2 linked regions of the Bombyx mori genome follow. The protein of the gene in region 1 purifies or fractionates together with the protein of each later gene. This does not show direct contact. Links are inferred from orthologs where the notes say so. Each region holds a gene or a part of one and is shown in the gene's direction. Other genes may lie near its edges.

The links.
Region 2: the proteins of NCK-interacting protein with SH3 domain (region 1) and gem-associated protein 2 purify together in Homo sapiens (co-immunoprecipitation; 3 studies listed by BioGRID and IntAct, counting the BioPlex papers as one, with this or other methods). This does not show direct contact. The link is inferred for Bombyx mori from reciprocal best matches to the Homo sapiens genes NCKIPSD and GEMIN2.

The regions. Positions count from the first base shown.
Region 1 is NC_085116.1:6,564,181-6,568,016, reverse strand, and holds part of NCK-interacting protein with SH3 domain, read left to right. Parts: intron 1-1,006; coding exon 1,007-1,412; intron 1,413-1,614; coding exon of another isoform or gene 1,615-1,781; exon of another isoform or gene 1,782-1,840; coding exon of another isoform or gene 1,841-1,914; exon of another isoform or gene 1,915-3,602; intron 3,603-3,677; exon of another isoform or gene 3,678-3,836. UniProt on the Homo sapiens protein: Has an important role in stress fiber formation induced by active diaphanous protein homolog 1 (DRF1). Induces microspike formation, in vivo. In vitro, stimulates N-WASP-induced ARP2/3 complex activation in the absence of CDC42.
Region 2 is NC_085111.1:13,069,424-13,073,989, forward strand, and holds the start of gem-associated protein 2, read left to right. Parts: upstream 1-1,529; 5' UTR 1,530-1,778; coding exon 1,779-2,006; intron 2,007-3,064; coding exon 3,065-3,377; intron 3,378-3,990; coding exon 3,991-4,090; intron 4,091-4,402; coding exon 4,403-4,511; 3' UTR 4,512-4,566. Other genes in the region: probable RNA helicase armi, read right to left, coding at 1-15. UniProt on the Homo sapiens protein: The SMN complex catalyzes the assembly of small nuclear ribonucleoproteins (snRNPs), the building blocks of the spliceosome, and thereby plays an important role in the splicing of cellular pre-mRNAs.

The DNA.
Region 1 (3,836 bases):
TGACTAGTAAAATGAAAACATTAAATACACCCATTTATGATAACAACAGAAAACAATAACATTCATTATAAATATTAGGACAATTGCAAAGTCTTCTTATGTTGTCTCCCAGAAACTTATCCATTAATGCATCATTGTACGATGTATAATAGTATGAGTATTACATAGTTACACTGAGATATGTATGTCTGAGGATGTTAAAAGCATGAAAAATAGCACGATACTTTAAAAAATACAGAAGCTTAAAAAGAATTTCATATTTTTATAAATTATAAATATAAGACAGTTTTAGTTAGTGCTCAGTAAAAGATCTTGGCTTAATTCCAGTCATAATTCATTTAAATATTCATTTTAAACCAGTGTTCAATTTACATAGTACGGATTTCAATTCATTGGGAATAAGCAAGACCTGAGCTTGTTTTGGATTATTCTAAGTGATGAAACTGTATTCTAATATGGAAAAGTGCTTGTAATTAACTACTTAAATAAAAAGTCAAAAGTTAATTTTTTACGTAGTTTTGGAGGCATTCCGAATTTACTTCCTACTTTTTAAACAACTTCAAATAAAAATAAGGTGGAGATACTCAATTTCTGCTGTAGGATTTTTTGCATCAATGTTGTATGATTCCTTTTTCCAACAAAACAGATTATATCTATTTTGGCTTTGCTTGAATTTGACTCCTGTGTGCTTAGTGCGAGTTTTTTAACGTTCTCGATATCGTAAAAGTTAACTCAAATTTGAATGCAGTTGGAACAGCACCCCTAGCGCCAAACGTAGGCAAACGTTCCAACTCCATACAAATTTGAGTTAACTTTAGCTTTAACTTTACACTTAAACGTTAAAAAACTCGCACTAAGCACACTGCTTAGAAACCGACTTAGTTTGGATAAGATTTGTTAAGTATATTCGAACCTAAAAATATTTTATCACGAATAATTAAGAGCGCCCTCCTGGTTAGGATAAAGAAAACTTGAATATTCGCTTAATGGTCATACGCTTTTTCAGGCATTTGGTATAATGTGCGGCCTAGAGCGTACAGCCCTAGCAACATTGGCGCTGTCATCGTTACCGGCGGAGATTGCTCGAGACATGCGCGACAACCCTAGGGCCGTCAGCCGTCTCTCTCACTCCGCTCTGCTACTCTCCATGGTTCTATCTATGGGAGACAAACTTCCGGTCACACATTTCGAGCAGCTCGGCCTTGAATTTGCACAATTTTTGCTGGAGTTGCTTGAAGATCCACCGGAAACCGATGTCGATGAACAGATACCTGATTTGTTTTCAACTCTCCTTTTGGCCTACAACTTGCAGTTTGAGAACCCATTCGACAACATATTGTTGAATGCATTGGAAACAAGGGACATGGCCAAAACATTCTGTGAGAAAGTGCTCTTGTTACTCAATCGTGAAGGTAAAGTGGCTTAATTCAATATAAAACAAAAAGATACAGATGAATTATGTATGTGTATAAAAAGAATTAATCTCATTCTGCATAATAGGGTATACTTTGTTAATCATATTGTTACGCGCTGGGGTTCGGGATAAATAAAACTTCCACCGAAGTACAAATTAAAACTCTATTAAACACTTAGACTTCTTCCGCTTCGCTTCAGGTGATCTGTTCGCTGTTTCGCTTCGAGTAGATCCGATTACTAACTGCCTTCGTGCAAGCAAGCAAGCAAGAGGGGTCGTTGTACCCGTTGTACGGGGGCACGGCGTGCTGCCTTCGTGTCATTTCTGCAATGCTTTTATAGTCGATACGACATCCCTAGAATCATAGATTATACACTTAATATATTAGAGATAGATGCGCAACTCTCATTTTTATTTTTGCTTTAGTTAAAGCCCGGTCCAGCAGGCGTCGCTACGGTCGATTATTAGTCTCCCTACCCCCCACCAGGTGGCTTTTTTAGTAATTTTAATATTTTTAATAACTCTCTTTATGAAAAAATCTTATCGTTTAGAATCGCTGAAATTCCCGGTAGTACTTATGAGATATTAAGGAATGTTTGATTGTGTTCAGCATTCTAATCGATAAGATCTTTTCATACAGAGAGAAAACAGTTTTTTAAAATAAAAAGCTGTAATTCTCTGTAAGCTATTTAATTTCCCTATATTACAAACAATTTTCTGTTAAAAGATTGTATGAACGTACAATTGTATAAAATTTCGAATAACAATAACTCCTCTAGATTAATCCTACTAGCGTACACATTAAATCGAAAGTTATCTAAAAGTTAATTAAGTCTAGATAATCAAATCATTCAATGTCAATTAAGTCATTTGTGCGAAATATAAACATGTCAGCTTTCCATTACAAACATAGTAGACAATTTGAATTAAATTTAATAAATTTGTTTCTTAACGATAGCAGTTCTTGCTTAAAGTTGATCGTGACAGATCATGACCTTGTATGAAAATATTACATTTATAAACACTACCTATGCTTCGTCATACAATAATTGTCATTTAAACTAGCATTGTAGAGATAATACACACACTAAAGTGAATACTAAATTATTCTTAGCATTCTTATAAACATTTAGAAATTTAAGAAACGATTAACCCACTATCATGTTCATAACATGTGACATTTTATTCTGCACAAACGTTTTGTTACATGATTTGAAAAACAAAAAAAAAAAAACAAAAAATGTTTAAAAAATGTAATGATGATTTAAAGTACTCTTAAATATTGATAGTTTGTACTTAATGACGCTTATAGTAATCTTAGACATGATTACATTAGTTATACTTTTATTCCCTATCTAAATTATTTCTATTCTGACGTTTCTGATGCTTTAGCTTTGGTAATACTAGATGAAACAAACAGCAGATTGAAAGAAAATCATCTTAAAGTTAATTACATTCATTACAAACCATTAGTTTGCATTTTGTTACAAAAGAAACTGATGTTCGTTACATGCAAATGAATTATAAACATACACATGCAAACATAAAATGTAAATTTATCTTTTAATCCAAATTAAATGTACATTAATATTACATCTAAATAATAGAAAGGGTTTCGAAAATTTTTATTGCACTCAACAGCAGACGAGCACGCAACCCGGCTCATGATAAGTGGTCACCAGTGCTTATAAACTTCAGCAGTGCCATAGGGGTTGCTGTCTATCACTTAAGTTTTAATAAATTATTAATATACTCAGTCACAAGCATATTGATTTCACATAATGAAAATGTAAGAAACATAATCATGTTTGGGCATTTTCATTTATATCTGCTCATACAGAAAACACAACTTAGCAAATATATTCCACAGTTAATCTAAATAATTGCAAATAATGCTTTTGAAGACCGTTGACTTTTGATCATTAATTAAAATCATCTTCTCGTAGAATTTACAAAAGGTTATTTACAAAAATTTATATCAGTATTTTCATATATTACTAACTTACTAATTACAACTATTCAAACGTAATACTATAACTATAAGAACTAAACAACCTATTTTAAAACAAAATTGGCATCAATTTAGTTCTTATGAAGTATTTCAATTATTAATTTATAAATTATAAACATATTTAAAAAAAATTAAGATCCTTGAGAGTTCACGTTCCTTGCTGAATCAGTTTCTCTTCTGAAACGGAGAAACAAAGTATCTTAAGTATGTAACAAATATTGAAAAATTTAGTGTTAATGTAATCATACTTACAAATTAATATATTACATAACACGTTCTGGTTCAAATATAGTGCATCAATCTTTTCATGTTTCAGACATTTTAGTGCTCCTTATAATTTTTCCATAAAATTTTGTCATTATCAAACCTTTGTCTACAAAAATAAAAACATTATTTTATATTGGGTAGAAG
Region 2 (4,566 bases), on another chromosome or scaffold:
CATGTATGAAAACATTTTTCTTTTACTTCAACAATAACTATTTAATGAAAATTAAATTGATGGCAGCGAGTTTTTATTGCGCAAATCCTTTATCATATTCAAATTCCCATTCTGTTGACTTAATATATTCAAGTTCCTTTCTCAAAGTCTGTATTCTTTTTTGATGCATTTCTTTCTTTTCACAGTGTTTAGATTGCTCTATGCTGTGACCAAGGTGGACATGGTTTAATGATTGATCAAAATTTGGTATTCTGTTTTGTGTTGTTACCTATAACACGAGTTTTTTATTTATTATTAAGGAAAAAAAATATTTCTAGGATTGGAAGCATCAATAAGATATTTTATAATTTTTAACGACATCACTACAATAATTTCATTATCAATAAATAGCATACATACTTGCGGAGTTTCTGCTTCAGATGAGGAATAGGTAGATTGTGAAAGATTGCTAGATGTAGACATTACTAGTACAAAATACTACAAATCCTTTCCTCATAAATTCGCGTATTATGTGTATTAATACCTATCTATGTTAATCGCTACATAAAAGGAACCAACCGTATATTTAAACCTCTTTACAACACAAACGAATTTTAACTTTTGTACTAATTTGTACTTACAATACTTTTTTTATTATTATTTTAAGAGATTTTATGACCTGGTAACTAAGACCTTTAAGCCTTGACTTATTTAATTTTCATTGTTATTTATTTATATTTTTATGAAAAATGAAATGTGCAATAACTGTGGTTTATTAACTGTTTAGTATCTGTGAAAGTGCATAAATGTAGGAAAATGAAACAAAGCCGCTGAACGTAACTTCTGATAGGGTGGATGGACTAGCGGCTATAGCAATTAATTAAAACGTAAATTAAATACTTGAAAACATTGTGTTGACTTGTATAAGAGAAAATTTAATTCAGAATGACACCGCACATCAAAAGTAAAAGGAACATAATACAAATTCAAATATAATGCATCATAGACAATTATACGTGGACAGCATCACAACCTTCCAACAACTTCTCGTTATCTTCCAAAAAGTCCACTGAAAAAGTCTCAGTAAATGACCACCATTTTACTGAGTTTATACTTCATCCCATATCATCTCATCTCATTTCATTTTTTTCGTTTTCATTACATTTCATGCTATGTTTCATAATAATCAACTTCATTTCATTTCATAATATCATTTTCATATAAAAAGGTACGTATCATTAAAATTAAAAATAAGACTTGACCTAAAGGTCTTAGTTACGAGGTCATAAATTCGCCTAAAAAAAATTCTTTCTCTGATATGGTAGCGTTAAAGTTTAAACGTTTAACGCAACCTTGTTGAAAATCGCATTAGAAGTTTCACTTCAAAAATGCTATCTTTTCGAATCTGCACACTACTGCCACAATCTACATTTACGTGATAAAAAAGCCCGATTTTATAAATCAACCATGGAGTTAATAAGTACCTACAACACTAACTCTATGAAATCAACATTAGTAACTATTTATTAATAATCTGTGATCAACATTCCAACAGCTGTCAGTGCTGTCACCGTACACCAATCACTAATAAAACCGCGTTTCCGATCACAAGAATGAAATTATAGAAAAATATTGTCCAAATAATAAGTGTTAATAACTATGAATATTGCTGTACGGGCTATATTTCTTTTGACTGCCTAAATAGACAAAACAAAAGTATTATTTATTAGTCATTACATATATATGTACTATGAATTGTTAATGTTATAATATCTCAAAGCTGTAATTTAGTGAAAAAGATGTCATTGAAAAAGTACTTGAAAACAATGAAGGATGATGAAGATAATTTGGATATAGTATCACCGTGCTTCAAAATAAGTCCTGATGTGCAATTAAAAGAGGTTCCAACGAACGGTGAAGAATATTTACTTAAAGTCATAAAGGAGCGTAAAAACATTGCAGCAGTTACGAAATGCAACAAAGATTATTCAAAGTTTGCCGAAAATCAGTCTCAGTATGTGCATGAGGTCAGTGAAGTTCTGAAAAATGATTTTAAAAATGATTGATTAACAAAATTTACATTCATGTAACCATGATGCCAATGATTTTGAAACGAATTTCTGGTGTAATATCTGCATCTGATGTAACTATGGAAAAGGTTGGGTACATTTCCGCATTGTTCTAAATATCTGCACCAGTAGCTAAAGTTGTAAAACATTTTTAAAATCATTATCTGCATCAATCTAATTTTAATGTTTAGGTCACCTTTTTTCACCAAACCGAGTTTGATTTCAACTATCAAACCTGGTTCTATATGATATAATTAAAATAATAAATTTGTATTAATTAATTTTCAATACACAGAGTTAAGCTCACTTAACTGTGCAAAATGCAGCTGAGATGTCATTTTATACATAATTTTCATTATTGGCACTGATAAGAATAATTAAAGATTTTTAATGTGTACTAAATCAAGAATAATTAATTAATTGATGTCCCTTTTTTATGTTTATTAATATGACTGTACTAATCTTATTCATTCAGGCATAGTAGGTAGTACTAAAAATATATTTGTAAATTATAATTCAAAACATTCACAATAGTAATTTGTAAAATATAAGTAAAACAATAAATACACTGATATTTTATCTTAATAGATTCATACCTTGGGACATATTCATAAATGATTCATTCCTGATGCCCGAATACAGTCTTAAGATGTCTACACAAAATGTCTAAAATGTCTGCAAGATGTCTACACAAAAAATGGGCTACACAAAATTATTCAATGATCATGACCATAAAAGTCATTTTGTAAAAATAAAAAAGTTAATAATCAGCTCACAAAATTGTATATCCTGTTATTAATTTATGATCTGCACTATTCGTAGAAAGCAAACTGCAATTACAGCAGAATTAATTTATAGTTATTAGTCACTGATGGTTTTTGATGGGTGGTCTCAAGATCATTCGTTAAATCTGTGAAATAATACATAACAGATTTTAAGAATATAGTTTTAATAATTTGGTGGCTTAGTAATGTTATTGTAATTTGAATAGATGTCTAATGGAAATGTCTTTTTAGTTCCCGAGGCTATCAGTACCTGAGAAGTTAAAACCTACAATTGAGTGGCAAAACATGCAAGTAGCAGATTTCTCAGAAACTCGAATGTACATATCTCGTTTGCTGTCAAAAAGGAAAATATGGAAAAACAATATTAATATTATAGAAATAAAACCAACCTGTGTAATTGAATGGAAACAGTTCTTCAGTACCCATATTCCAACATTATCATGCGTGCTCGGATTACAACATGCATTACTAGACCAAGGTTTAGAAGTACTTACTGATATTATTAGTAGAACGAAACCTGGTAATACTATAGAACATAAAACAGGTAAGTCATTACTTTACACTGTACATGTTCAGAAGATGATTAAGAGCCGTTAATTAAATTTAAATGGATTTGAACTTCTTCATGTCATTCTCAATAACAAAGTTTGTGGATTTTATATTGAAGTTTTCTCTATCATCTTCCTATTGATTAAGTACAGCTCTTTTGTAAAGAGAAAACTTAACCTGTTTTGTTACTCTCAGCAAACCAAATTATTCATACAGCATACATTCTGCCACTATTCTTTATGTGTTCCATAATTTTGATTCGATCATAGCATTTTGTCTTTACTTTAACTTTATACAAAATTATACAAGATTTTGTAACAACAAGTGAGCTTTATATGAAGAGAATAAAATCAAGATAATAGTAAATTTGTAATTGGGGTAAGGATGATTAGTGAACGCTTTGTAAGGAAATCACATATCAGCTCTCCCAAAAATCCACTTTTAAAGCAGAGATTTCGTAACCACCCAACCTACCTGTCAAATTAATATATATCAATTTTTAAACTTATTTATAGAATACATTGTGTTTTACAAACCATTTTTTTTTAGTACAAATTGTTCAGATGCATACAGAAGAAGTTTTTATTGGGTGGCCTTTTCATTTTCAGGTCAATGGGTATATGCGTTTTTGGCCTGTACCCAACTACCTCTATTGTCTGATACAACAAGTATTCTAAGAAATTTAGCTCGAAAGTGTGCTGAAATAAGGTAAATATAATAACACCTATTGTTATTTACAGCAGGTGACCACAGCTGAATCATAAACAAATGTAACAAAGATTGTGAAAAGTGGCAGTGTGAAATTTTTCAATTATTTAACAAGGGCTTTTACTACCTATACAGGGTAGCTGGTAAGATCCGGGTGAGAGAAGCCTACAATCATGCTGTGGTGTGCAATTGGATAGGCCTATGTCCAGCAGTAAACTGCTATAGGTTGATGATGATGACAAGAAATTTGATTTTTCATTTTCTTATTTAAAAATGGTTGATTGCATCCACTTATGGAAATTATAATTACAGGTTTAGGCTAAACCCTGATGAAGAAAATGCTATTACTGCAGCAACACCTTTAAATATATTTATATGTTTAGTGGCAAGATATTTTAGACAGTATGATCTAGCAGACTGAATTTTAATAAATAAAAACTTATAATGTATGATTTTGTAAGAACATTATTGTGATA